Kluyveromyces lactis: one gene and its partners. The main gene of each other region encodes a partner of the protein of the gene in region 2 in a complex. Links are inferred from orthologs where the notes say so. Each region holds a gene or a part of one and is shown on either strand. Other genes may lie near its edges. The genes, in order: MRPL49, MRPL13, MRPL17, MRPL50, MRPL40, MRPL3 and MRPL32.

Region 1 (3,849 bases), on a different chromosome or scaffold from region 2:
GAAGTAAACAGGGAGGATTCCGAAGAACTGGTCTTATGTTGTCGCCTGAAAATACCGGTATAAGCTGTATGAGAGGGACTAACAGATGATGGTGTTGTCGGTGATTTATTAGTATTTTCTGTCGTAGATAGAGGTCTTGGGGGTATAGTTATCTTGATATCATTCTTAGATGCGTTATCCTTCGTAGATGATGCATTTCGTAAGCTGATCAAGCTTCGTCTATATAATGCACTTGCGCTATTGGTCTTTGCCTGCCTCAAGGGTAAACTGTAATTGCTTGCTTCTTGCTTTTTTGATGTGGTAGGTTCACTAGAAGAACTGTCTTTCGTAATATTCTCAATATTCAACAGCGCCGATTCTGATGTACTTCTTATATGGGTAGAAAAAGATGTCGATAACCTTTGGCTGACCTTAGCAGACTCACTCGACGACCTTGAATTATTGATAATCCGATTACCATTCCTGTTGTTTCCCTTCACCACGTTTTCTTCCAGCGTTTTCTTCAATAAGTACTGAAACCTTTCGTAACTTGAACTCTTGGACTGTTGTAAGGACTTCTCGTATGGTGCAAAATTATCGTAAGCTAGAAGTTTCAAGAACTTATTCCCGCTTATACTATTCCTCTTGAAAAATGTAATCCACTGATCGTTGAAATCGTTAGCTCTGAACCACTGTATTATCCTGGGCATCGTCCACTGGCTCGGATCAGTGACATCCCAATTGAATAATAGTCGCTCAGATGTTAACGAATTGGTGCTCCCACCAGAGGACTTCCTGGATCCCTTGCTGCTGGAATCAAAACTATAATCGTTCTTCAAACCACTGGTCACCTTGTGATCCAATGACGATGGATAAAACTCACTGATATTGGCAGGATCAACATGTTTGTTGAGTATAGATGAGGCAGATCCTGACCTTGAATGTCCAGCAGTGCTACTCTTCTTCTTCAAGAAAGACATATCATCCACGGTTCATCTATATTTAGCGGGACTTTACTTATCAGATACTAAAGTATCGATACCCAGTAATTGTTGCACTAAGCTCTTCTCTTATCGTCTTTCTCCCCTCTTTATTAACGATTAAAATGGTATTAATTACAATTGTTTCTATTTGAATTTATATCTATTCTCTAAAACGGTAAACGTTTCTAACAAATTCGATGAGATGCTGCCACTAAAACATAGTTACTAGATGGTATAGTATTTCTAATCGATCTATAACGACCTAACATTATATTAAACTTTTATTTACACGATTTTGTAGGAGGGTTAGTTCATTAATTGACTTTTAGCTCGGATATTCTCAGAATAGTCAAATCGGCTTTATTGACCGCATGACGCACTTTCCTGTTTCTTCTCTTGGTAACTTCTCTCACTCTAAGCGGGCGTTTTGTCTTCTCAAGAACTGTAGCCTTAATAGTGTATAGAGATGGATCAATAGGTTCGTCCACGAGCTTGAAGTTACGAGAACCAATGGTAGTCACATCAGTCAAATTTAGCACATCGCCGACCTCTGCTTGCTTCAGTTTAAACGGTAAGATAACCTTATCTCCTTCTGTCACCAAGTATGGTCTGTTGTGTATTCTGAATACGGCATATAGCTCATTGGATAACTTCAACGGCGTTAAATTCACCTTCGCTTTTTCTGCTACCGAGTGTGTTGTTCTGATGAAACTTCTCTTCAAAGGTTGAAGAAATGGGCTGAAACCCACCATTTGCCTTACTGGGAGGGCAAACATATGACTGATATTCTTGAACATCGTTTCTGCACTGATTCGAACGACAATTGGCAGATGCAATAGCCCTTTCAATCTGCTTCTTCTCACTTGTCTTAAATGTTGTTCAACTAGTCGTATACTGTTTCAACAGAAAATTTTTTGAGCCTTCGAGAGTTAAGTGTTGATGTCAGTCACGTGACGTGACGTGAAAAGTAGGGCACACACACAGTCATGAGAAGGAAGAGCCAACGGCCACGCCAAGGGACAGCGTCGTTTCATTTGTGCATTCATTCGGGTATGTTACAAATGTTACAGAACTTTTATACATGAGTCAAACTATTCTTTTAATCCTGTGACAATTCATGCAGATTTGCGTTTATCACCGTTCAAGGATCTCATGACCTTCCTTCTTTGGGCAACCATGTGTGAGAATAGCACCGGGAACCCTGGAATGTAGGCTAGCATACCTGCAATTAAGAAATACTTGTACAAGATATTGTATTTTGCTTCAGCCAACGGCAATGCAGAATAAATTATGAACAATTCGCTGCCGACGCCCAATGGATATAGCACGTAAAACATGTTATATCTCAATACAACAAGTACAGTAGGCGCTTGAGCCACCAAGTTGAAGAAGTAGAACATGTACCTCACTATTTCAGCAATACACCATGCCGACAACAACGTGATGTAATATATTTTATGCGCATTTTCTGCTTCCGGCACATACTGGAAGATACCGATGACTACCAAGAGTCGAGAGGCCACTTGAGCAGCAGTGGTCACTAGCGGAGCACGGACTATTCCAAACAAAGAATTTGTGACTTCAATTATAGCACCGCATTGAACGTACGTGACTAAATCCTTGGTAGCAATAAAGAAACTTGGTTGACCGATCTTTGGGTAAAGGGTCACGACTTGATATAGGACATAAGCCCAGGCAGAAGCAGAAAGTAGGTTGTAAAGAGGAAGGAAGGAGAAGATAGAAGCCTTAGATGATGCCATTGGGTGTGAAAGTGTATTGGTGGGCTCTTTGGACTTCGGGGTTCAATTTATTAAGATCCAGTTCGGTTCTAAACAGACCAGTTTTTGTCAATAACAAGAATTCATGGTTTCAGATTCATAAAATTAAGTGATGCATTGAGACGAAAAGGAAGAGAAATCCAACAATACCCAAATTAACAAATTGCAGTATGTATTGATGACATGAGAATTAAGATTTGAATTAGTGTTACTCGTATGTTATTATTACTATTACTATTATTAATATTATTACTACTTGAACTAACGATAAACAGAGGAAAAGTAAATGTTTATTATATATCAATTTGTGTTGATAAGGATTCGTGTTTGGGGATAAGGCTGCATTGTTAATCTGTATCATGTGAGCTTGATCTTTGCAAAGCAGGCATTCCCATTGCTCTACTACTCTGCTCAGCGAGATCGTAAGGGATCTTATCATTACTGGAAGTACGACGCAGGGAGTATTCATTCGAACGATGAGAAATGCCGCTATGTGTTCCAACATCAGTATCAGCATCGAAATCATCTTCGTCGTCGTCCTCATCATCGTCGTTTACATCAAGATCGTTGAGTTCTTCGTCTGGTGCATCGTAGGGCATACCACCCGGTGATAACATGCTGGAGTATAAAGGATGGTTTGGTTTTGCATAAGATTGCCCATCGTCGTTAGGATCTAAATAATCTTCTTCATCGTCAGGTGACAGATCAAATTGGTGGGAATGGAACATGGAGCTGTTGAAGAAGGTTTTATTGGGGACTTGCGGTTGGAATGTGTTGGATGATTCACCATTCCAAATATCTTCCTCTTCGTCTCCTTCGTCTTCTTCCTCGGCATTGTCAGCCATGTTTAAGCCGGATTTAATCTGATTTGACATGTAGTTGCTAAACTTATTCAAATCTCCACCGTACGACGAGTCATGCTCATCGTTGTTGTCTAGTCGTACTTGGATTTTTGTCTTATTACCCATGTTGTCTTCATAAACGAAACAGTTGTCGGCACCTAATTCATTCGGATTTTCATCCTCATCGGCATCGTCATACTCCAGGGACCCGTTCACATTCACAAACCTTTTCTCGTTTTCATTTATAGCATCATCGTCTTCGTAAAT
Region 2 (4,203 bases):
AATGAGTTAGGTAAACGAATCACTTCTTCATATTCTGGATACTCATCTTTATCTACCAATTCAAGGAACGGTTGGCATATGTTTAAAGTGTCATCCAAGTTGTTGTTAGAAGCCGCTTCTAATTTTACGTCATCATCTTCTGCTAAGATTTCTGCCATCTGTTTATCTGTTACATTGAGTAAAGTGTCAAAGATTGCTATGAAACGTGTCTTCACATCATCGTTAACCAAGAAATTTCTTGTAGCATTTTTTACTTTCAACACTTCATTTTTGATGAAATATACCACTTGTTTCGCATTTTTAACAATAAGAGAATCTGGATCGTTATATGCAAGACAGTTCTTGTAGATCAGTTCACAATCCAATAAGAACTTGGTTTCCCCACCACTATATTCGTAATCCCTGCTTTTAATTTCGTTAATAGAGATCGGTTGATCAATTTTGTAATAGTACTGTGGATGAAACTTCCTACTGGGTAGTTTGATAAAGTGTTTGAATAAAGCCTTGTGAGCTTCAACTAAATTATCCAAAGTAAATGCGATGAACAAATTCAACTTAGGAATAGTCCAATCTAGATCTACAATGAGCTCTTCTGTAGGATCCAAAGGGTGCACATAATCCACTTTGGGTAGAGCGCCGCTTCTAGGACGTTTTCCTGGTGTATATCTTGGTACATAATTCTGTTTTGAATGCTTTTGTTCGGGTTCCTCACTGGGATCTTCTGATCTGCTTCTTTTCACAGCCATAGTATTTGGCGCTTTCCAGTTTGTTTATGCTTTTTTTTTTGCCTCCTCGCTTCCTTGGCTTCTTAAATGAACAAATTTCAGTATATATGCAGCAGTCAAGGCACTTACTCTAACCGTACCTAATTGGCTCCTTTGACAAACCAAAATCGTATACTGCGTATTGTTTTATATGTCTATTCTACAAAGTTTGTATATTTCAATGTTTTCAATAAAGAGAGTGAAAGTACCTTTACAAGATTGAGAAATGTTCAGACGTATATAGTGATATATCGCATTTCAACATTTGGTGAACCCATTTTGAGTGCGCTAATAGTGCAGAAACCTATTGCGTCACGATTCGATATTGGCGACCAATGGCTTGTTATATTCCACGGTAAGGTTTTTCACTAGGTTAGCGAAGTACTTTTTGTGAAATTCTTGAATCGCCTTCCTTGTGTCCTGTTTTATTTTCGAACTGGGAAGTACCGTTAAGGGTACGTCATGTAAAATTTCTCTTTGATCTTGCACATAGCTCGAACCTAAATCGTGTGAGGATGCTACGATACCGCTGTTGCTGATCATACCTATATCTATAAGCTTATCGTTCGTATTATTCACGATTTCGGTCAATTCAAGTTCTCTTGCAAGCACTCTTTCCTTCTGTCGTTGTTCCATTTCGTTATAATCTAATTGGGCTTGTGAGCCGTACCTGTCCTGTTCCTGCAATAACGGGTCATTTTCGTCGCTATCTTGACGAAAGCAGCAACTTAGCACATTTCCCATAATATTTTAAATGTTTTAGGCAGATTTTCGGTAGCTACTGATGCTAGAATTCGTTAGTAAACGTAAACTATCTCATTGCCTTGGTGGCTTTAAGGTAAAGGAACTACACTTACTATAGATGTTGATAAAAAGCACTGGGAAGCATAAATTTCATATTCTAGTATGTGGGTTGTGGGTGTTTTGAATAGGGTAACCCCGTCTTCTTTATCTATCGGGCTACATAGATAAGCAGCTTTTAGTTACTGAATACAGTGAACATCATGCAAACCAGGAAGTACGCACTTAACTCGACCCGTTGTTAAAGACCACTATGATGCAACTATCTATCGCTTCAGATCCTGTTTCTTTCTCTCTTTAGAACCTTCCCATATGGACTACATTCTTTCTATGCCCAATTGAAAAATTGAAAAATTTCATCTAAAAACTATAAACTTACAATTTGATGAAGATATTGTATATTAGAACATTAATTGAACGGTCAAGTTCTTGATGAGCTTAAGCACAGAAGTATCTTCTAGTGTTGTCTGATTTGGCGGTTGATATCAGTTCATTAAAGCGTGGTACTGTGCATATTTTTCAATCGAAAACAAAAAAGAATAATGATGCTAGCGTCTAGGTACGTGCCAGTAGTGCGTTCATCAAGACAATTCACTTCAAGTGCAGTGCGCTCTGATTTCTTGTCATGGTTCAGAAGAAATAAAAACAAAGATGCTGGTGTCGTTTCAACACAGCCAGAATTGCAAAGAGATACAAAAGAAGTTATAAATGAGATCGAGTCCGGGAAAACAACTGTAGTGAAGAGCTCAACGGTCACAAGATTAGAGTTAACAGATGATGATTTTGTTGGTATCGATTCATCTAGAAGAGAAGAACTTATTCGTTTACAAAAGTTGGATGTCGTCCCATTCAACGAGTGGTTATCTCAGGATAAATTAAGTACCGAACAACAGTTGGAACAGGTTGTTTTGGAAAGTTATCAGGAAACTTTCGGTGATGTCCCAACGGAAGAACAACTGGGGAAACCTTTCGAAAATTTGGTAAACAAGTTCAAATTCAGTAAACTGCTACAATGCAAATCAGGACACATTATCCCAGACTACGAACTTACAAGGTTACAAACTCCATTGGAATTTAAATCGTGGTTTGAGATTAAAGTACTAAGTGGTCAACTAGGGAAATTTAAGGAATCGGAACCAAACGCCATTGATTTATCGAATATCAAATTCCCACCAAACGTGTACGTGGTTCCCGATGTCAAACCATCTGTGAAAAAACAGAAGGTGAAGAAAATCTTGGAAGAGGTCGCCGCATTGGAAGCTCAATATGAAAGAGACGCTATTGAGAAAGCTAAAAGGGATTAAACTCCGAAAACAATCTCTCTTCTGGGTTGTTTATATTTACTATCGCATATCTTTTTTTCCAATGCATTTGAACTAGGCCAGTCGGCCGCTTTTCAGATCTTTGATTTGACTTTTCCTTCAATCTAAATCCTGTACATAATATAAATACTTATACATAATGTTACTATAACCATTAGTATGAGAGATCAATCACCAAAAAAAAATTATTGTATGTGAATATATATATACTTTTATATAAGGTTTGAAAAGAGCGTGGCATTGATTGTATACCTAGTGTTTTCTCGATAACGAAAATATCACGGCAATTGACGCACCGAGAGCAACAATTACTGCTGGAAGAAGGGTTTCATTGGGAATTCCAGGAATTAATTGGTTAGATGGTTTGGGATGAGAAGGCACATTTTTTTTGAACCTATTTTGGATTAATCTATTCACAGCATCTTGTGGTACAGTCTCATATCTATAATGAACCAATAAATCAATCTTATCTAGATTCATGTTTTTATGCACAAGCACACAGTCAATCAAATCTTGATCATGAGTGATGCTAACAAGATCATTTTCATCGTCCACATATAAAATTTCCACATCATCTGAACCTCCTAGTTTTTCACCAATCAGTTCAACTAGTTTTGAAACCCCCTCTATTGGCCTTAGGGATACTCTGTGGGTCTTGTTATTTGTTAAAGTTTTGAATTTGAACGAATGTAAACAAGTTCTTATATCTTCTTGAGAAGTAATGTGACTACTTCCCATCAAAGAGCTAGTCTCGCCGTTTACAAAAGACACTGAATCATTCAAATGCATTCCATTGTCAAGCTGGAATTGATTTAGCTCTGTTTGAGATATTTCTGGTGGACCATTGCTGAAAACACTTTCTGAGTGGACTGACGAAGAATCGTTCATCAAATCAAACCCGTTCCAGAATTTATTCCATGCGGGTCCGGGTGCAGCATTTTTACTTGGAGTCGTTGGTACACTGCTTCTCTGAGATTGTGAATTATGTGATTCTGCATCTGAAATTAGGTTTATTTGGGACAACGTCGCATAGGTAAGTTTTAGGACTTCAACAATTCCAACAATTTCACCATCATCCACAACAGGTAAGTTTAGATAATGGCCTTCAAACATTTTACGTAACGCTTGTTGAATAGACAGAGTCTTTGGAGCTACATCAGGTTGTGGCGTCATTACTCTTATAACACTGACAGTTTTGGGATCCAAACCGGCTGCGATGACTCTGAGAACGACATCCTTTGAAGTAAAAATTCCAGAAACCTCGTTTACTTCGTTTTTCACTAATACCGCTGTGGTATGGTTATCTTTCATGGTCA
Region 3 (4,045 bases), on a different chromosome or scaffold from region 2:
TTGGCTATACTGCCTCTAAAGCATTTGAGATCACTTGTCTCAATGAAAGTGGCTTGAAAAGTCATTACAGTTCATTGTTGGAAAGCTGCTGCAAAGATAAACGGGTCTTAAAAGATTATCATGCTACTGCAGTAAAGGATAGCAGATCTGTCCGTACTTCACTGAATGAGATTATTGCGTTGGATTCACATTCAGCATCAAAATACGTGTCCTGGTCGAGAATTGATGGTAGTTTGACTGTCATGAGGCCGCCGTTAACATCAGACCGATCCCAAGATCATGTCTTGATTGGATCGATTAAGAAGGACGTACATGGGGAAGGCAAAATAGTGTATTCTATTAGTTGGAATCCCAACGAGTTACAGTTTGCCTCAGTGGGAAACACTCCGACTGTTAAAATCTGGAACGTTGTGGATGATAAGTTGAGTGTGTTGAAAGAGTTTAAGACAAACTTTAAAGCGAAGAACTTCATAACGGAATATGATCCTTCTGGAAAGTACCTAGTTGTAGCGACGAAGACGAATGAAATCTACATTTACAATGCAGAATCTGGTTACGAATCTTGTATCTCTTTTTCCCCTGATGAGAAATCGGATGATGCCATACATTCCCTTTGCTGGTCTAATGATTCCAAACAAATTATCGTTGCATATAAATCAGGATTCATAAAACTATTTTCACTCCAAGATGATGGATTAAAGTTTCTCTGTGAAAGGCGGAATGATATGAAAACCATCACGTCACTAATAATGGATCCATTAGGCAGAGCATTGTTAGTCGGAACTCATAACGAATGTTCTATCTATTCGTTACCTGATCTTGTGCCCTTGAAAAAATCAATCAAGACAGATAATAGAATAACTGGAATTGACATTTCTTTTGATGGGTCAATAATATCTATTTTGAGCAAAGCATTAGACTCTCACGATTCATTTTTAAGTCTCTATTGGTACAATGATTTGTCTATCCTATACAACACGGTGGTTAAAAATTCATCACGTTCCACAATCAAGTGGTCAAAGTCGTGCTTAATATTTTACACCACTGGTGCTCTTGATAAAATGACAATGGTTGATTTACGTTCAGGCAGACCGAAAACTATGGTATCGACCGATGATCGTAAACGAAATGATTTTGTTAAGAAAAGCACCGATCGGAGCAGTAGAACTCAAAGAGACACACCACAGCGCGGGAAGAGGGATAAAGAGCTGCGCAAACAACCATACAAGAGAGATGCTGATAAATTCAGTGAGAAGTCGTTTGGTCGCTCCAACACAGGGTCTTCTTTTAGAAAGCCAAATGATAGATGGTGATAGATTTAAAAGTTAATTAGCATTCTTACAAGTATATAATGTTCCAATCTTAAAATCAATCAGAGTTCAGCAATATGTATATGATTGTTATCTTTTAGTGTTCGATACGGGTTGGAATTTCTATCCGAAGCAGTATTTACAGGAGGGTTTACATATATATATAGTGATTAAATCATGCCAATACTTTCTGTGTTTGATGATAATATGTTAATTCTCAGCAAGAACATATTGTATACTATTGAAATATCTCTCGTCAACAGCTTTCTTGATTTCATCTTTTGTCAACCATGCAAATTCTTTGATTGACTTTTCATCCTTTAACTTGAATTCACCTGCTATGATATGCGATTTGATCAAAAACTGGAGATCTTTTTCAGATTGTAGAACACCTGCTGGAGTATTCGACACAGTCCATGTATTAATATCTTCTCCGCCGATTTTTCTTAATCCCACTTCAGCGGTCTCATGTAAAGCTTTCTTTCCTTCCTTAGCTTCAATATCAACCGGGAAACTTGGAAGAACCCAGCTTCCCTTGTCATCCTTCACAAGCAAATGCAGAGTTCTGTCCAATTTTCTGTCTAAACTAGTAATATCGTTATTTTCGTCTGCCTTTGTAGTTCTGGAATTAGGAACAATTGGCCTTGAGACATCAGACTTGTTTGAACCTTCTGAAGCCTCTCTTGGTAGCATAATATCTTGCTTTTGACTTCTTTCTCTGTTATGTCTGACGTCTGGCACTCCTTTAGGGAACCATACACCAGGCTGCTTGCTAATCACACCTTTCTGTACAGACTGGAAACGACGCTCTGCCAAAGTACCTTTTTTGAAATAGAAATAAGATGGAAATGTCCACATTAGTCTTCTTTCCAGTTCTGCCTGGTATTGGTAGTACTTGTTCTCTAGTGCATTCAATTCTGGAGTGACGATTGGAACACGAGAAAGTACCAAACCTGCCTTTACTGCCTTGGGAATCGAGCTTGCTGCTGCTTTCACAGACATTTTTATTTATAATTGTGTCGATGAAGAGGGTTGCTGACTGAATATACACGATGATTGACAGCTGGTGAATATGCTTCCCAATTCTGATAAGCGGCACTATTTCAACATGATGCTGATGTTCCAATAATTTTTCAAATTGTTTGAACATCCTCTCATGCCTACTATTCCAAAATTTTTCAATATGAAATAATCGATCACGATATACGGATTTGATAACTTTCCAAGTGGTGTCACTAATAGAACAAAGTAGTGAGTGAATTGCATATGCATAAAGGCTATCAGATACAGAAAATTATTTAAGTGCATTTATATAAGCATTATTTTGGCGTTTGGTTCAAAATATTCATCAATGTGTTTAATTGCGCAGTTGGATCGAAATTTTGTGGGGGTTGAGGAGATTTTTGGCCCGAAGGTTGAGTAGACTGATGCGATTGCTGCTGCTGCTGCTGCTGCGCAGATGATGCCGATCCCAGCAGTTGATTTTGACCATATACCATTGATGGAGGCTGCTGATACAATGGCTGGTTATAATACTGTTGTTGGATTTGAGGAACGTTCGGTATTTGTGATGTTTGAACCGGAGGAGGAGGAGGAGATATATTACTGTAGGGGATAGGTGTTTGAGAGACAGCAGTAGCTTGACCAACTTTACCAGACTTGGGACCCAAAACACCTTTATCAGTTGGCATCTTTTGCGAAATCGCTTTTGATGAAACACCTTCACCAACAATAATATCGGGCTCCTCATAAACCATGTTTGTTTGGATTGGTTGACCACCAGTACCACCCCATTCCGCGGACTGTGACCATTTGAAGTCAATTTCGGTTAGCCTGGCCAATGGGATGATTGAATATCCATATTGATAGTCACAACAGTCTCTAGGACCGAAACCAACGGCCCAACGGATTCTCAAACCATGTGTCGGATTGCCACCACCAGTGAAATGCGCCATGATCCTCTCCGCTTCTGCTCTTGAATAGACTTTCACAAAGGCGTGCTTACGGGCATTATTCAAAATAACACTCTGAACCTCACCGAATTGTCTTAACATTCTTGCAATATCATGTTCTTTGAAATTTTGTGGGACACCACCAACGAAAAGGGTTCTGGAATATACTTTTACGTGGTCCCTTGGCACAGTTGGATCAAAGGATACCGGTTTTGGCCTAAAATGAGGGTTTGAGGGAACATTCTGCTCATCTGGGTACAAATGATGGTTATTTCCTTGTTGACCATTAATTGACTGCTGCTGTTGTTGTTGTTGTTGTTGTTGTTGTTGCTGCTGTTGCCTAGATAAATGCAGAGAAGTTGTTGCCTGTGCTCGAGATCTGTCATTTTTGTTTCTTGGGGGTGATCTAGATCTGTCATTTCTGGAGTCTCTTCCAACGTACTGCGTTGAGCGAGTAGACCTTGACGATGAAGAGGTAGAAGAGGTAGAATTATCTATCGAGCGAGGAGCCTGTTTGTTTACTTGAACCAATTTTTGGTTCTTTGTCAGTTCAACTTGCAACTTTCCTAGAAGTTCTTTCAAACAAGAGTCCTGTACCGATATGTCCTCTGAAAATAAACCAGACGGGACTTGTATGCCAGGAAGGTTTTCGAATTTCGGTATAGCGTTCAAGACTTGATCAATTTTACTACCTGAGGAGGACTTATTATCATTACTGGGAGCTGGGCGTGGGGTTAAAGACGAATTAGATGACGAAGATGGAGGGATCGAGTTGCTATTTAC
Region 4 (3,933 bases), on a different chromosome or scaffold from region 2:
GCGGAAACTTTGTCCAAATTGAAATTCATCACATCTATCGTTAACAAAGCAGTGATGACTAAAGCTCGTGACTCAAACTACTTTTTATCATTGACCCATACCGCTGAAAATGAATCTTTACCAGCAGACTATGTTTTCATGTCCGAATCAAATAAGTTGAACGGATTTATTCCTCACTATGCCGGTGAAGATTTCAAGGTGTTGCTATCTAAATCTGCCAAGTTCTTGAAGTTTATTTCTTTCACTGATTTACCAGAAGAGAAACCGATTACTGACAAATTATGGGAGTCTTCTCAATTGCCACGTTGTGTCATCTACTTATCCTTGGTAACTTCTGACAAAGATATCGAATTGTTGGAGGAATTGATAACCAAAGTTGTCGAAATTTATGACAATGTTACTAAGGATATTCAAACTAACTCATCCAATTCTTTCATCACCACTGATATTTTGAAGAAGGGTATTCAATTGCGTAAAGAAGAGTTAGGCAAGATTGTTAAAGTCATGCAACAGGTTGAAAGAGAAATGGCTCTTGAAAAAAAACAAGAAGCTGAGAGACAAAAGAGAAAGGATATGAGAGACAAGTTGACCGACCAAGAACTTGATAAAATGGAGTTGAAGAAAAGAGAAAAGAGAGAAAGACGTCTGAGAAACAAACAGAAAATGAGAATTTAGAAAGTTCATCACTATTGGGGTTGTTTCTCATTCTCGTCTCTTTATTTCCAAAGCAACAGTTAAAGCTGATCAAGAGAAATATGCTCGTCCAGGTGATGAGCGTTCCTGTAGTAATAACTCTCTTGTCAATCCCCATTTAGTATGAATCATCCAGATCTACTGTCCACGTTATTACTTCAACTGGTAGCGATTGGATGCAACGAACTTTCTTTATTGTTTTCGCAAGTTATTTTAATGTAATTTATGTACAAGTGTATGAATGTGCCTCTGAACCGCAATGGGGACGAGACGTCACGAACAACATCCATGATCATTATTATTTTGTAAGACATTGGTATCTCAAATGATCCGCGTAAGGAGGAAAAAAAAGATAAAACATTTACTATCATAAGTCTAATCCTGGAATCTTCACATTCTCGATAGTTATTTCTTCGTTTAATGCTGACTTAGGAGTTTCTGGTGTCTTATTTTCTTCCTTGGATACCTGCTTAGCCTTCTTTACGTTCTGTTCAGTCTTCTTCACCGTTGATTCGGTTGTTTTTAATAAAGCTGCTGCTGATGCACGTGATCTCTTAGCTGAGGTCAACAGGGCTTGGTCAATATCAGTTTCCTTTAGAATGTAGCGGGCTCCATTATAGTTGTGCAAGAAGTTTCTCATTAGTGAGGGCTTGACATTTACCACCTCGCCGGTATGAAATTGGAACTGAGGAAAATCTTTTAATAACTGTACCTGTACTCTCTTTGTACGTTTGGTTAAGGCAGAAAGACACGATGATGTCGGTCTGAACATTTTGCTGTAATATTTTAAAAGCCCTTGGAGCGTGTGCAGTTATTGGAATAGCACTTCAAACACAATTGACGCTATTTTTAATTCCCTGCTTATGGTTAACTTTTAGATTGATCTTGTTCTAATGTGATTTTAAACTATCAAAAATTTTTGAAGCTTTAAAATCATATCTAAGTGCCAGCCTAGTTAAAAGATGTGTACATAAAAAGAAGATAAAAGATTGGTTTAGCGAGTGACAGCCGTTCATACTGTACTACTCCGTGTTTGTAACCTTTGAAATACTTATTTATAAATGAACTGCGTAATGGATACAATCTAACCTAATACGATTCGCTATAAAGTATTGTATGGGTGTATGGGTGTATGGGTGCTTTCGTTGTTTCAACATCAGTTTTTCGAATTATTCAATCAACCTAAACAAAGCATTCACTAGCTTTTGGTACATTAACTTACATGCATCAACTTGTATAGATGAGACATATCATCTGCTTACCTCCTAGTAGAATAAACTAAGCTACCGCTAGATTGAGATTAAAGAAAAATCAAAATCAAATGTCTGCGGCACAGAGTGGAGCAACGGTTGAACATCAACAGGCACAAACTGTGCCAGTTGCACAACCAACTGACATGTATATCCAACCGTATTTGAAGAAATTAATACCAGAATTGGATGGGCTAAGTAAGTTACAAGAGGCTGAGAAGAGAATTGACATATATTTAAGTCGTAAAAAAATTGATTTGCATCAGAATATTACTCAATGGACTCATTCCAAATACACAGATCCTGCGAATAATCAGTTTGTTCGTGTTTTCATTTCTAATATTTCTGAGAACCAGCCATGGCAGACGAACGATGAGACCATGGAACTTGATCAAGCATCATGGACATTGCGTATTGAAGGTAGACTGTTAGATAATGGGAAGGCAGACGATCCAAATAGGCCTAAATTTTCCTCCTTTATAGAAAGCGTCGCGATAGATTTCAAACCTGTAGAGGAAGATCAAGATGATGAAACTGATCAAGAAATGGGAGACCCCTTATTAGAAGGGACACAGGAACCTAGTGCTAAAAAGCCAAAAAATGAGCAAACCGTTTTTGAATGGCATGTGGATCCTAATACTCCTGTAGAGTTTGACGGTGTTGATGTTTCACGTAAGGGTACTGAAAACGTTAACTGTACCATCACTATCCAACCAAAAGGGTATACAGGGGAGTTCTTACAGTATTCACCAGAACTATCATGTATTGTCGGATTCTCAAAAGGAACCTTTCATGAGGCGATATACTCTCTTTACAAATATATTCTATTAAACAGTCTATTGACGAATAACGACGAGGCGGGACCAAAGGATTCCACAAACGGTGAGAAAGTCTTAGTGAAAATGGATGCTTCATTAGCAAAGCTAGTGTCTCCAGAAAGGCTTGCCGCAGGCATTGTTTCTTTGAAGCTCGCCGATTTGCCAAGTCTAGTGAAAGATCATGTAAAACCGATACCTCCAATAAGACTTGACTATACTATTCGTGTAGATCAGTCTTCCACTTTCGGAGATTTGGTATTTGACATGGAAGTACCTAAATCAACGTCAGTTAAAGGCGACCAAAAGTTGTCAAAGGATGAATTATTGCTATTGAATGAATACAATACGCTATCAACTGCAATCGAACCACAAATACAAGAACTAAATCAGAAAACACAACTATTACAACTACAACTAAATTCAAGCGCAAAGAAATACCAATTTTTTGATAAACTAGCTAAGGATCCAGTTCCAATGCTACAAGATTACATGGAATCGTCATCGCAGGCTCTCAAAGTGTTATCAGGGGATGCTGGCTTCAATGAAGATACAGTGAGAAGATCACAATTCTACCAGGACAACGATTCAATTCTTTTTGAAAACATTGGAGTTCTACTTTCAAGCGGAAGAATGAAATAATTTCATTCAGTATTTTATCGCTTTCATCATAAATATATGTATACCGTATACAACGTATACCTTGGTAGTTCTTCGCAGAGCGGGCCCATACTTCGTGTATTCAACAACCGTATAGAAAACATTTGTACTATGAAATCGTCTAAAATGATTAAAATCGTTCAGAAAATATTGAAAATTGTATTGAGTCATCTGTAAACCTCTGCTTTCATCAACTTACCACGAAGCAAACTGTTGAAGTTTATAGTTGAGAATAACACTTGTTAGTTGTTGATTAGATCAGGCAGAGGCTCCAATAAGGTAAGATATCCAATCTAAGACCAAATCAAAATGTCACAAAGCTATAGATCTACGAGGTCATCCGATCCTGCTACCAAAACTTTTGAGGAAGCTATTATTCAAGGTTTAGCTTCGGATGGTGGTTTGTTTATCCCATCCATTATTCCTCAAGTCTCTAAATCAGAGTTGTTTGATAAATGGTCTAAGTTGTCCTTCCAGGATTTAGCTTTTGAAATCATGAAACTTTATGTTTCTTC
Region 5 (4,251 bases), on a different chromosome or scaffold from region 2:
ATAGTATAAGCGCTAAAATTGTTGCCGTAATTATGAATCATTAGTAAATCTATTAAACGATGAAATAGCCCTATCTGCAGTTATTAAACCTTTTTTTGACACGAAACGCATATTAAACTCATCTGCTAGATGCTCCTTAAGCTTTGCAAACCGATTCTTGAAGTTAGTGGAACAATAGGGGCATATCATCTCAAAGTTCTTGATATACCTTTCGGATAGCTCCTTGTCACCAGGCAAGTCCAACACAGGTAGTTCATCCCATGGTATAAAGAACGGGGAGTTGAAAGAGTTGAAATGCTTTTTGTGCTTTAATTTCTTACTATGGAAATCTCTTGTCATGACATGTATATGTGTATTAGCCATTGATGGAGTGCTATGTACTCCTGATTGGACAAAATTCGCCAAGAAAGCTTCTTTCTCTTTCAAGGATATATCTTTTATGTCATATTTTTTTATGAATTGAGTCCAACAGAATCGTTTAGCCCAATCAATATGCCATTGAAGCTGCACCTTGATGCCATTGTCGATTGTGGTGGGATGAGAATTGCTGATCTTATGACTTCTTGGCAAAACTAAAAAATGTTCTTCAGATTTAGGGAACTTATCATGTATAATGGTCGCTATGTCGTCAAAGTAGAGTACTTCAGGCAATCGTTCTGGACACAAAACGTACGGTCTGAGACCTATGCTGAACGAGTTCTCCCTGTTTTTCTCGTCACCATGGGCGTTTGGTACATAAGTGGGTTTGAAAATCTGCAGATACTGATTATAAGTCATTCCAGTTGTGATTTGTGGATGGATTTTGTTCATATGGAAACCAATTAAATCTCTGTTCTTGCCGATGAACTGCTTTCGGCAATGTTTACAGTACACAATATCTTTGTTGGCGTCTTCATTTAATTTGAATAAATGAGTCGTAAACCCCGATTTATCTGAGATAGTCCATTGATCGCCTGGACTTTCCTTCCATTCTATAACATATATTGGACCGCACTCATCCATTTGTTATGAACTAGTAACAGTTATCTAATCATTTAGTCATTACTATAATCATAAATTGTTGAGGTCTGTTACTACAAGTAATGACCTTTACGTATAGATTTCCATTCAAAATAAACATGTAGTAAAAAAAAAAGTCAGATAAAAGTGCGATGAAGTATGATATTATGATCTATGTACAAGTAGCGTGGATACGAATGGCAGTTAAGTGCTAGCCAAAACTATTATTTATTCTTATTGTAATTCGAAAGATTTCTTGAAGTGTTGGTAGACCTTGTCACCAATCAATTCTTGATCTTCATCAGTCAATTTACGTTTTGGCAATGCTGCCAATTCTTTTCTTTGTTCGATGTATCTTTTCTTTGCTTCCGTTAGAGGCATTTTTGGAGCCACCAATCTTGATATTTCCTTCGTTGTCAAGGTACCTCTTCTGTATTTCGACTTAGGGTTACGGATGGTTGACAATGCTGCTTCTGGAACAGGATTTTTTACTACGCTTTCAACCCAGAAAGTTTGTTGACGTGCAATTTCAGAACGCGTAGCCAATGCACCATCTGGCTTGAACTCCGGCTTAGGCCATGGAACAACCATATTGTTCTCACCAACAACAACCCTATATGGCATAATTTTCTTGTAATCTGAATCATAATACGAACCCTTGAATTCGATGTCACGAACAGCAACAGTCTTAGCCACACCTGGAGTCTCTGGATCATCGAGATCAGCGACTAGTTTGATGTCCGCTTGGCTCACGGGGACAGGGAAACTCACCATATGACTGTTCTGCCCCTGTTGCCAAAATTGCTTGGGCACAGGAACAGTGTTGGTGGGTCCATTCTCATCCAAAATATACCCGTTTGTATGCACGTCGTGCTGCGTAATGGCACAAACATTGCCCTTAAACTTTCCATTTACTATCACCACTCTATCACCTGGCATATATTTCCATTGCTTTACACTCTTATACTTCTCGGATTCTTCGACACGAGGCAACGATGGTTTCAAGAACTCTGGCATCGTCAAACCTTCATACTTGGCAAATTGTTTCGCAATATTAGAGTTCTTCGCTTGAACTTGCTCCAAAAAACGGGCACCAGCCTTCGATAAATGTTTATATGAAGACATACCCGCTGATCTATTTTATTCTAGTATCGAATACCACCGTCCTTTTCACAGAACATAAACCATTTGTGGTTCATTCCATAGTACCATATTGATACATATGTCTTTCTTGATTCCGTTCCTTCAAGTTTTTCATCGACAAATTTTTTTGGAAGGGAAAAATGAAAGCACGTGATCCGAATTAGACTATCAGATTCTTCGCATTTGATTTAGTATTATAGCTTGATGTTACATAGGATATACAAGGTGAGATATACATGCGGCACAGGGCTCCAGCTGTGGCAATGGAAATGGTCGTGAAGCACTAATTGTCAGTGCATATAGCAATGAACTCTTCTTCATTGATCTCTCCGTCATCGTCAAGATCAAACTCATCAATCATGGCACGTAGTTCTTCGTCTGTAAGGTTTTCACCTAGTTCGTGAGCTACACGTTTCAAATTCTTCAATGAGATCTTGCCCGTGTTATCATCGTCGAATAGCCTGAAGGCACGTTTAATTTCATCCAATGGGTCTCTTTGCAATATTTTTTCTCCTACTACCAGGTAAAAATCCTCGTATTGTATTAACCGGCGTCCGTCTGCATCATACCTATCGATAAGTTCTAATATGTCTCCTTTACTGAGTTCAAAACCCAATGCCCTTAGAGCGACTTTGAATTCATGATAGTCGAGATATCCATCATTGTTCATATCAAAGAGTGAGAACGCCTCGTATATTTCTTGTTTCTGTTCTTCTAATAATTCCTTTTGTAAAGTGGATTTATCCACGGATTTCGCTACTCGTCCACTGGGCCTTCTGTTATTCATGTTTCTATGATCCGAATTGGGTTAGATTTCTTGCCGTTGTGAGTCTTGGCTGTAAGTCAATCGAACCTCTTAATTTACCTCTTTTGCTGCACGCGTAAACTTCGTGAAACTTCTTTAAAATATGTTTAAAGATTTCATGTTTATGATTATTTTGACAATATTGAGTTTAAGGAACATAAACACATATCCTGAAAGAAATGAAGGCAATAACTGATGAATACCTTACAGTACTGCCAGATCAACTACTCTTTAGTTCTAAAATGAAACAATGGATCTGGAATTAGGAGATAGGGTAGTGCTACGCAGCCTGGCAGGAACTGTACGGTTTATAGGCGAGACGCAGTTTGCAGCGGGGATTTGGATCGGTGTTGAGTTAGATGAACCCTTAGGGAAGAACGATGGTAGCGTCAAGGGAGTCAGGTACTTTGAACTCAGTGAGGGTAGAAAAGGTCGGATGTATGGTATATTCAGTAGAAGAGAGGGTATCTATAAAAATTCTGCACCGAACTCGCAACAATTTCAGGATCCTGATACTACGAATTCTAACTCATCAGATCCCGAACGATTGAAAAAGATCATTGGAAGATTGGAAGTTAAACTCAAGTCAGTTAATGACAAATGTATTTCGTTTGAAAAGGAGCTGGGATTGAGATCAAAAGAGCTTGAAAAAGTGCAATTTCTCGAGGAACAATTGGAGAAATTAACTTTAGGACGAGATGAGGCAGAGCAACGCAATGATTCACTGATATTTGAATTAGAAAGCTTGACCATTGCTCATGAAAGTGCTTTGAAGGAGCTTAATGATTATAAAGAAGAAATTTTAATAAGAAGAAAAGCAGACGTTGATGTCAACACTGATCAGATAGAATCAGTAGAATCAGATGCCCTTATCAAGCAAAACAGATTATTAACGGTTGCACTACAAAAGCTGCAATCAGACCTAACAGAAATACAGAAACAATGCAACGGTTTGAAAAATAGTAATGAAGAACTGCAAACCCAGGCAGAGACATATTTGCGAACAATATCAGCCTTAGAGAGTAAACTATTTGAAACAACAAAAACATTAGATGAATTGAAACAGCACTTCAGTGCGAATAGTAATTCTAATAACATCATTGAATCTCTTACTACAGAAAACCATCAATTAAGTACGGAGCTTGATTGTCTTAAGTCAGAGTTACTCAAGTTGAAACAAACTCAATTGGCAGATGAAGAACTAGAAGCACTTTATAAAGAGGTCGAATCGGAGCTAAATTCTCAAATAGCGAAACTTCAGGAAACTCTCTCTACTGACGAGAGCATAATTAACGCATTGAAGG
Region 6 (4,268 bases), on a different chromosome or scaffold from region 2:
ATTATTCAAGAAAGAGATACGAGTAAAGAGACCAAAACCTCCAGTACTACCTGGCGTAGCATCAGAGGTGGATAACAATGATACGACTGACGTATGTCCCCTATGCGGCGAAGAAATAACAGAACCTGCCATGATTTCATCTGGATATGTCGCTAATTTAGAGTGTGCCAAGAAATGGGTAAGCACAGAAAATACATGTTTCGCGACTGGTGTGCCCATAGATAAACGCATCCGTAAGTTATTAATATAGTTTTGCATTAATTTAGTAAATGAATAATGAGAATAATTGAGCCAGTAGCATTAGAATAATTCTGCATTGGTTTCCATTTGATTGAACATCGTTTGCATCATCATTATATCAGATTCCAGCCTAGAGATTTCTGAATCTAAGTCTGGAGCCGATGTTCTACTGTATCTTAGCTTTAATAACCAAATTTCTTTCAAGATTTCATCGCTTGGTCTATCATTATCTTCAAGATATTGAATCATCCTATCCAAATGATCTTTTAAATCACGTTTTAATAGTTTTAAATCGGAATGATCATCCTGAATTTCTACTCCACAGTTGATTAGCTTATAAGGATATCGTACACTCTCATGCCATTGTATCAAATTGCTAGTTTCAGGGAAGTAATGGAACTTGGATTTAATAATGTATTGTTTCGAATTCAACGACTGTAACATGTCATCGTAATCGTAAATGTCCGGGTCAACCATTAGGATTCCAATTGGATCAGAGGATTTCCAGCTGAAAAGGCTGAGCTTCGTATCAACGTTTCCAACTCCATCACACAGAAAACACTGTGATGCTATTTCATTTTCCAATACAAGGATAAATAGTAACGGACCTCCTTTACTTTCAATGATCGTCGAATTAACTTGCAGCAGAACTTCCTCCTTCAAATCCATATCTTGATCAAATAATGCAGAACAGGATCTAGCTATAAATAAGGCAAGGCCTCAAGACACAACTAAGTTTCGTACAACCTCCTTTTTTATTTCGTTCGAGTACAACAGTGTATGAATTACTATTATGTATTTGTATATTATATTTACAGGGAAAGAAATCTTTAAAAGTTGATCTCAACTGAAAAGGATTATGTGGAAAACATACATTGCTGATGCGGCCTGTCTATACTAACACTTCGCCTTGGTCAATAACGACATTCTGTTGGCCATGCACTGGTTCGTAACAGTACCATTTCAACAAAGCGTCTGTAGCGGCTCTGGCTTTAGCTTCTTTCAAAGATGAACCGTAACCCTCGCCTAATTTCTCTTCACCACTGAAAACGCCAACGATGAACAAGGGTGATTTAGACAATCTACCGTTTTCTGCAAGTAGTTTCGATACCGGTCTTTCCAATCCTTGGCGACGGCACAAAGCTGCCAGTTCTCTGGTTGGTTGTTCGAACGCGAACAAATCTTTAACGTCCAGCTTTCTGGACAAAATATGATCTGCGATAAACTTATGTGTCTGGTTGAAATCTTTGTCGACACTGTATACAGCGGCGAATATACTCCTTACGGCAACTGCCATAGCATTGTTCTCAGTGAAGTTATGCAATTCATCTACGGAATTTTGGAAATAACGTAGTTTACCCAATGTAATGGTAACATTTTCTTTCTTTGCATATCTATCCACTACACTTTGAGTTTCCGGTTCTATACCCCAGGAACGACCGACATTGCTCAAAACATGGTCGTTAATATATGCATCCACAGCAGCATTCAAAACCACACCCGGTAGCCTAGGATATTTTTTCATTAGCTCGGATGTAACTGCCAAAGTTAAAAGACTCTTACCAAAAATGTTCAAACTGACATTGTCATAGTTCACTTCCCCACTAGAACGACACGTCAAACATCTGGACAAAAGAGAATAGGATAAGCCTTGAGGCAATCTTAATCTGGAATGGAGTGCAACTAAATTGGGGCTTGTTAGTTCATGTGCAGGGTTCTTTAACAGTGTACTGATGGTATTCTTATATTCTTTCAATGATGACAGTTCTGATTGGTACAACCTGGCACAAGAAGCAAATCCTCGCACTCGCACAGGGTTCAATAGCTTCAAAACAGACATCCTTCTTTAACCCCCCTCGATGGTGATGTTGATTGCTGTATATATCAATGGCAAACCTCACCAATAGCTCACTGCATCACTCAACTTCTTTCCATCCTCTCTCTGTAACTCTTTCACTAAAATTTTTTTTCAATATTTCGATACTGAGATCTGCAATTACCCGGATATAGTAGACTGTTGATGTTTTCCGAGTAGTCACGTGATAATAATATGTTTTCACAGACATCTCATTATTCCAGATTCTTTCTGATACGGCGCACTTATGCTATGGATTGTCGATGAATCGGTAGCTAAACATATTTACAGACTATTCTAAACTACCATAAATTGCAGTTGGAATCGTAATGGTAGTCTACAAGGATCCCACTCTCATTTGGTTCAATTTTTCGCAAAAAGTGATGTTCAGCCCAATGTTGCGACGGTTTTATAGTGTTCCAGCGACATTTTTCCATCCTACAGTGTATGCATTATCAACGCCATCAAATCAGCACTCTGCAATAGCTATAATTAGGATATCGGGTACACATTCAAAGTATATCTTAAAAAAATTGTCGCCAAAAAAACCGCTACGGCAGAGGAAACCGATGATTCGGTCATTATATGATCCCAAGGCATCAACTCTGATAGATGAAGCGTTAGTCTTGTACTTCCCACAACCACGGACCTTTACAGGTGAAGATTTAGTGGAATTGCATCTACATGGGGGGAAAGCTATTATAAAGGCAGCGTTAAACTCAATCCAGGGTTTGCGGGACTCTGAAAGAGATATTCGTATGGCGATGCCGGGAGAATTCAGTCGACGAGCTTTCCAGAATGGGAAAATGGATTTGTTGAAGCTTGAAAGTATCAACAATATGATTCATTCAGATACAGAATTACAGCGATTGTCTGCATTGCATGGCAATCAGACCGTAGACATTTTCCATGAATGGCGACAAGAGATTATAGAGCAGATCGCTAAACTAACTGCAATTATTGATTTTGGTGAAGATATCGAAACGGAAGATATCGATTCTATAGTGAATGGTGCCAATGATAAACTTTTACAACTATACAAAAAAGTGACTCGATTCATGGTGAAATTAGATAGAATGGCTGTCTTGAACGATGGGATAAAGTTAACATTGTTGGGTGAACCAAATTCCGGGAAGTCATCATTAGTTAACGAAATATCTCAAGACGACGTTGCGATTGTCAGTGATATACCGGGCACCACAAGAGACTCTATCGATGTAATGATGGACATTAACGGTTTTAAATGTATCTTGACTGACACGGCAGGGATCAGACAGGGAACTTCAGATTCTATTGAGATCAAAGGTATTGACAGATCCAAAAAGAAAAGTTTACAAAGTGACTTAGTGGTATTGGTCATTGATGTATCTAACCCAAATATAAGTAAACATTTTGAAGAATTTATCAAGGATAACTTATCTGATAAACCTTTAATTGTCGTGTTGAATAAATCGGATTTAGCTACTGAAACCCAGTTAAAATACTTAATTGAAAAGTTCGATGCAGAATTTAAAGCCCTGAAAATTCATACAGTCTCTTGCTTAACCAAAATTGGATTGGAACCATTAGTTAAGACCTTGACATTAAGTTTCAGAAGAATCTCGGCAACTGAGAATGAAGATCCAGTCACCGTGTCCAATAGAGTCAAAGAAATTTTAAGCACTGATATTCTATTCGGCCTAGATCAGTTCTTCCAGCACAAGAATGACGATATATTAATAGCTTGCGAATCACTTAGAATAGCTTCCGATGGAATTGGGAAGATAACTGGTGATAACGTTGACTTGGAAGAGGTTTTAGACGTTGTCTTTTCGAAGTTTTGTATCGGCAAGTAATTGTAAATAGTTTTCCCATTCATCTGCCAATTCTTCCAATTCTTGCACTTGCTTTTCTAGTTTATTCAATCTGCCAGAAAGCCGTTGTTTCTCATCGACCCAATCACTAATGCCGTCATCTTTCTTGATTTTACTCTGTAAATATTCTAGTTTACCATAATTTTGTTCAGTCTCTTGCTCAAAACTCGACACTCCAGTTGCAGTTACGAAATCAATTCTTTGCTGAATCCCATCCACCAATTCTTCGAGTTTGGATTTCAAAGCCTTTCCCCTCATTTTAAAGCTTTACGTTCAGACAAGTGGTCTATGACACCTGTGTAAAGACGATCATAGGATTT
Region 7 (4,010 bases), on a different chromosome or scaffold from region 2:
CTGAGAACATTGATATGGTCTATATAAGGTGTCAGAGAACAGAATATTATGACACTGTATCAATGCTTCTTGGTCTACTTTCAAGATGGTCTTTCTCCACGAGCCCCTCCACCTTGAACATCCAAACGGCGAAATACGCTCTTGCTCTGGACTTTCCGATTCCAACTTCAAGTACTCCTTGGTATAAATCTTTCTCCATAGTTCCTCATCGTAGGTGTACGCGTAAAGGATCCTAGAACTACATCCGAGGTTCTGCAAGTCATTTGGATCATCGATATATGCGAGTATTTCGATTATAAGATCTTCTGGTAGCACTGACAGAGAGCCTAACAGCTTTTTCCTAAGCTTTCTAGTTTCCTGAGGATCTGCACCCTCTAATAAAGAATTCCCGCTAGGTTTTACCCCTAACGGATGCGTTGGGATGCTGGTAAATACAGGAATCCTGTAATTTGGCACCTTTTTCACTTTCTTGAACTGTCGTGTCGTTGTCATACTGTATGGAAAATTGTCAGCCTTATTGTCAATTTAAAGTGAAACAAAACAAAACAACCAATATCAGACCAAACTGTTAAACTGATGCCAGTTTTCAGGTCCTGCTTAATCCTGTATCGTGTATTCGCACCTCATCTCATCTCATCGCTACTTCAAATCTTTTCACTCATGATTTTTTTCTTTTCAATCTGATCTTTTCTCGACTGATTTTCACGCCTTTAGGCCTGGCATCAAGCCTGCTCTAGGAAAATTTTTGTATGTGATTTGATTCTATGTAGAGTTGATTGTGATGAGATAATGAATCTAACTATTACTACAGGAGGTGAATGCTGACACTGAAATAACCTGCTAAAATCTGGGACGTGTATTCGACATATATATACAAGGTGATGGGGGGATTGAACTTGATAAAAGGTTGTTTTTTTTTAGTCATTTCCGCCGATGTGTTATTTTGTACTGGATTCAATGAGAAGAGGGTTTAATGTGATCCTTCTTTCTTCTCAGATCTCTCCACTGGCAGAGTTTTCATACGTCTCTCCAAATAAGCATCCTTGTCCTTCAGTTTCTTTGTGTATTCAGTTTCTTTTCTACCAGGATACAAGATACGCTTGTCCAATTCAGACAACTCTTGTTCTTGAATAGGCTCCACTTGTTCAACGTTAGTGTGAGCCTTCCAGATGTGACGGATTTCACCCACACAATGCATACATAGCGTATGTGCCTTCTTGTAATGCCCACATGAAGGGCATTTGTTCAAATGGTTGATCATTTTCAGCTGTTTGTCTCCAGGCGCATATAACTTTTGTCTCTTCTTCTGATGCGACACTTTCTTCTTGGGCACAGCTAGAAGGATCCCGTTATTCGTAAAGTAATCCGCTTGAGGTGAAGACTTTTCACGTTGGTTTCTTTCAAGCAATTCCAGCAGTTTCTGTGGCAATGCAGTACCAGCTGCTGGAGTGCTCCAACGAGGCAATATTGATGTCGCTGTTTCCAGCAACACTCTGCTAAAAGATTCCGTTACAGCTCCAAAAGACATCCTCTAATTATTTTCGCTGCTGGTATGATACTATGATGAAGAGGAGAAAGGATAAGTTCAATCGATAGGGACAGATACTAGTTTCTCTAGGTCGCTCGTCTAACTCTGTTTGAACTTCGTCAATTCAAATTGGTATTGACGAATTGGATTATAAGAAAGAATTTTCAACATTACCCTGATTTGGTGATGATCTGTGTCCCTTTTTCGATTTCGATGAAAAAGACGAAAAATCACAAAAACTAAAAATGGAACTCGAAACGAAATAAGTGTGTCAACAAAATATAAGTAAGGAATCAGATCTTGTATTCTTTAGAATAAGTAAGATTGTGATTACTTTTTTTTGACGTTTCTGTGGTTAATTGCTACTCATTGTTTGAATTTTTGTTATTGCGGTTAATTGTTTTTATAACTTAGAGGTTTTTCATTATTTTAACTTCCAAACACTAAAACACGTAAAGCTTTGATCATTTGGATTTGACTTATATACATCTCTACTACGCGAAAGGAATTATTAAAGGTAAAATACACGCATAAACAAAAACAATGGCATCTAGTACTGCTGCAGCTGGTATGACTTCTTCTTCTGATGGGTTGGCTTTGGTAAATCCATCTTCTTATGTTGGGTTTGATTCGATTACTTCACAGATTGAACATCGTTTGTTGAAGAGAGGATTTCAATTCAACGTTATGGTCGTTGGACATTCTGGTCTGGGTAAGAGTACTTTGATCAACACTTTGTTTGCATCTCACTTGGTTGATTCTTCTACTGGTAAGGACATCACTCAGGAACCAATTAGTAAGACCACCGAGATCAAGGTTTCAACACATTCTTTATTGGAAGACCGTGTACGTTTGAACGTGAACGTGATTGACACTCCAGGTTTTGGTGACCAGATAAATAACGACAAAGTTTGGGAACCTATTGTCAAGTACATCAAGGAGCAACACTCTCAATATTTACGTAAAGAGTTGACTGCTCAACGTGAAAGACACATTGTAGACACTCGAGTACATGCAGTGTTATATTTCATCCAACCTAACGGTAAGGGTCTAACAGAACTTGACGTTGCTGCTTTGAAGAGATTGACAGAAATCGCTAATGTTATCCCGGTGATCGCTAAAGCTGATACTTTGACGTTGAATGAGAGAGCTAACTTCAGAAACATCTTACAAGAAGAATTTAAAAAGTACAATTTCAGAATCTATCCATATGATTTAGACGATCTGACCGATGAAGAAGTGGAACTGAATAAAAGTATAAGATCTATTATTCCATTTGCCGTTGTAGGATCTGAAAAGGAGATTACAGTGAACGGTGAACTAGTAAGAGGAAGAAAAACTCGTTGGGGTGCCATCAATGTCGAAGACATCAACCAATGTGAGTTCGTATATTTAAGAGAATTTTTGATCAGGACACACTTGCAAGATTTGATTGAGACTACAGCTTTGATCCACTACGAAAGTTTCAGATCCAAGCAATTGATTGCTTTGAAGGAGAACGCCAACGCTAGAACTTCTGCACACATGTCTCAGACATCAACAACAATGCTGCGTTAATAGGTGGAAAAAAGAGCCGGGAAGACTTCTAGAAGAAACGGCGTCTTTATTTCAAAAAAATGTAGCGTTTTACCGGTACGCAAGAGCTGTGCCAATTATTTTTTTTGTGTTCTTCACTGGTTTGAATCCTGCCCTAGTAAAATGTCGCTTCATTTCCATATATCTTATTGATAATTGGTAATGTCTCTCTATTTCTACTTGTCAAACGTCTCTTAATCTCTTTTTTATATATCACATTCTCTTTTTAGGATTTATAAACCCCATTAGTTAACTATAATACTACATCACGTATAACCAACTGGTAATTAAAGTCTAAGAAATTGGACGGTGCTGTTGTCCTCCCATTTTTGTACTGAGCAGATGTATGCGAATAAATTAGTGTAGACAAGCTCCAGAGTAATCTACAATGTATCATCACTGCATATTAGTGTCTACATGAAGACATTCAGTGTTTAAATTTTATTCCAGATACTAAAATGTTCTATTTTGTCATATCCTCTGGAATCTTTTTTTTATTGTGCTCTTCTACGACTTCTGAGTAGAATGGAGTCTACAGACATTTGGCAGGAGTTTATGGAAGTCCTTAATGTCTTTATTCTGCTTAGAGCGTTTCATATAAAATTCACTATCAATGTATTTTCTGCGCATGGAAAAACGAATAATAAAGCATCGGACACCGTCCAAAACTCGATATACGCTTTCAATATTTGTATGATTGGTTTGGGCATGCAAAGATATGGGCCTTTCACAAAGTGATATTTTGGTCATCTACTAGTTTTGACAACTTGGGAAAATGTTAAAACTAGGATGCTGATTCAGCCTTTCCAGTGCACATCGATGTTCTCTGAAAATAATAAATAGAGTTAGCAACTATCCTTGGGGAAAGAACTCCAGTAAAATATTCTGCAGGATGCATTCATGACTC

What was found.
Region 1: MRPL13 (region 2) and MRPL49 share a complex: the UniProt entries of both Saccharomyces cerevisiae proteins name them as parts of the mitochondrial large ribosomal subunit. The link is inferred for Kluyveromyces lactis from reciprocal best matches to the Saccharomyces cerevisiae genes MRPL13 and MRPL49.
Region 3: MRPL13 (region 2) and MRPL17 share a complex: the UniProt entries of both Saccharomyces cerevisiae proteins name them as parts of the mitochondrial large ribosomal subunit. The link is inferred for Kluyveromyces lactis from reciprocal best matches to the Saccharomyces cerevisiae genes MRPL13 and MRPL17.
Region 4: MRPL13 (region 2) and MRPL50 share a complex: the UniProt entries of both Saccharomyces cerevisiae proteins name them as parts of the mitochondrial large ribosomal subunit. The link is inferred for Kluyveromyces lactis from reciprocal best matches to the Saccharomyces cerevisiae genes MRPL13 and MRPL50.
Region 5: MRPL13 (region 2) and MRPL40 share a complex: the UniProt entries of both Saccharomyces cerevisiae proteins name them as parts of the mitochondrial large ribosomal subunit. The link is inferred for Kluyveromyces lactis from reciprocal best matches to the Saccharomyces cerevisiae genes MRPL13 and MRPL40.
Region 6: MRPL13 (region 2) and MRPL3 share a complex: the UniProt entries of both Saccharomyces cerevisiae proteins name them as parts of the mitochondrial large ribosomal subunit. The link is inferred for Kluyveromyces lactis from reciprocal best matches to the Saccharomyces cerevisiae genes MRPL13 and MRPL3.
Region 7: MRPL13 (region 2) and MRPL32 share a complex: the UniProt entries of both Saccharomyces cerevisiae proteins name them as parts of the mitochondrial large ribosomal subunit. The link is inferred for Kluyveromyces lactis from reciprocal best matches to the Saccharomyces cerevisiae genes MRPL13 and MRPL32.

Annotation. Positions count from the first base shown.
Region 1 is NC_006042.1:1,308,231-1,312,079, reverse strand, and holds MRPL49 (mitochondrial 54S ribosomal protein bL21m), read right to left. Parts: upstream 1,760-3,849; coding exon 1,277-1,759; downstream 1-1,276. Other genes in the region: mitogen-activated protein kinase kinase kinase BCK1, read right to left, coding at 1-959; enoyl-CoA hydratase PHS1, read right to left, coding at 2,078-2,722; SAP185 (Sap185p), read right to left, coding at 3,088-3,849. UniProt on the Saccharomyces cerevisiae protein: Component of the mitochondrial ribosome (mitoribosome), a dedicated translation machinery responsible for the synthesis of mitochondrial genome-encoded proteins, including at least some of the essential transmembrane subunits of the mitochondrial respiratory chain.
Region 2 is NC_006037.1:257,170-261,372, reverse strand, and holds MRPL13 (mitochondrial 54S ribosomal protein mL50 MRPL13), read left to right. Parts: upstream 1-2,107; coding exon 2,108-2,869; downstream 2,870-4,203. Other genes in the region: RSC4 (Rsc4p), read right to left, coding at 1-746; MEH1 (Meh1p), read right to left, coding at 1,077-1,508; KLLA0_A02893g (uncharacterized protein), read right to left, coding at 3,140-4,203. UniProt on the Saccharomyces cerevisiae protein: Component of the mitochondrial ribosome (mitoribosome), a dedicated translation machinery responsible for the synthesis of mitochondrial genome-encoded proteins, including at least some of the essential transmembrane subunits of the mitochondrial respiratory chain.
Region 3 is NC_006039.1:255,973-260,017, forward strand, and holds MRPL17 (mitochondrial 54S ribosomal protein mL46), read right to left. Parts: upstream 2,313-4,045; coding exon 1,521-2,312; downstream 1-1,520. Other genes in the region: TEX1 (Tex1p), read left to right, coding at 1-1,313; Nrd1 complex RNA-binding subunit, read right to left, coding at 2,630-4,045. UniProt on the Saccharomyces cerevisiae protein: Component of the mitochondrial ribosome (mitoribosome), a dedicated translation machinery responsible for the synthesis of mitochondrial genome-encoded proteins, including at least some of the essential transmembrane subunits of the mitochondrial respiratory chain.
Region 4 is NC_006039.1:790,611-794,543, reverse strand, and holds MRPL50 (mitochondrial 54S ribosomal protein bL9m MRPL50), read right to left. Parts: upstream 1,466-3,933; coding exon 1,061-1,465; downstream 1-1,060. Other genes in the region: KLLA0_C09086g (uncharacterized protein), read left to right, coding at 1-675; RSC6 (Rsc6p), read left to right, coding at 2,015-3,400; threonine synthase THR4, read left to right, coding at 3,728-3,933. UniProt on the Saccharomyces cerevisiae protein: Component of the mitochondrial ribosome (mitoribosome), a dedicated translation machinery responsible for the synthesis of mitochondrial genome-encoded proteins, including at least some of the essential transmembrane subunits of the mitochondrial respiratory chain.
Region 5 is NC_006039.1:834,432-838,682, forward strand, and holds MRPL40 (mitochondrial 54S ribosomal protein uL24m), read right to left. Parts: upstream 2,125-4,251; coding exon 1,234-2,124; downstream 1-1,233. Other genes in the region: HNT3 (DNA 5'-adenosine monophosphate hydrolase), read right to left, coding at 31-1,002; CDC31 (centrin), read right to left, coding at 2,426-2,929; NIP100 (Nip100p), read left to right, coding at 3,198-4,251. UniProt on the Saccharomyces cerevisiae protein: Component of the mitochondrial ribosome (mitoribosome), a dedicated translation machinery responsible for the synthesis of mitochondrial genome-encoded proteins, including at least some of the essential transmembrane subunits of the mitochondrial respiratory chain.
Region 6 is NC_006041.1:686,310-690,577, forward strand, and holds MRPL3 (mitochondrial 54S ribosomal protein mL44), read right to left. Parts: upstream 2,081-4,268; coding exon 1,133-2,080; downstream 1-1,132. Other genes in the region: PEX12 (ubiquitin-protein ligase peroxin 12), read left to right, coding at 1-250; KLLA0_E07613g (uncharacterized protein), read right to left, coding at 301-909; MSS1 (Mss1p), read left to right, coding at 2,425-3,930; KLLA0_E07679g (uncharacterized protein), read right to left, coding at 3,892-4,206. UniProt on the Saccharomyces cerevisiae protein: Component of the mitochondrial ribosome (mitoribosome), a dedicated translation machinery responsible for the synthesis of mitochondrial genome-encoded proteins, including at least some of the essential transmembrane subunits of the mitochondrial respiratory chain.
Region 7 is NC_006042.1:1,182,160-1,186,169, forward strand, and holds MRPL32 (mitochondrial 54S ribosomal protein bL32m), read right to left. Parts: upstream 1,529-4,010; coding exon 971-1,528; downstream 1-970. Other genes in the region: KLLA0_F12804g (uncharacterized protein), read right to left, coding at 1-492; septin CDC10, read left to right, coding at 2,072-3,085. UniProt on the Saccharomyces cerevisiae protein: Component of the mitochondrial ribosome (mitoribosome), a dedicated translation machinery responsible for the synthesis of mitochondrial genome-encoded proteins, including at least some of the essential transmembrane subunits of the mitochondrial respiratory chain.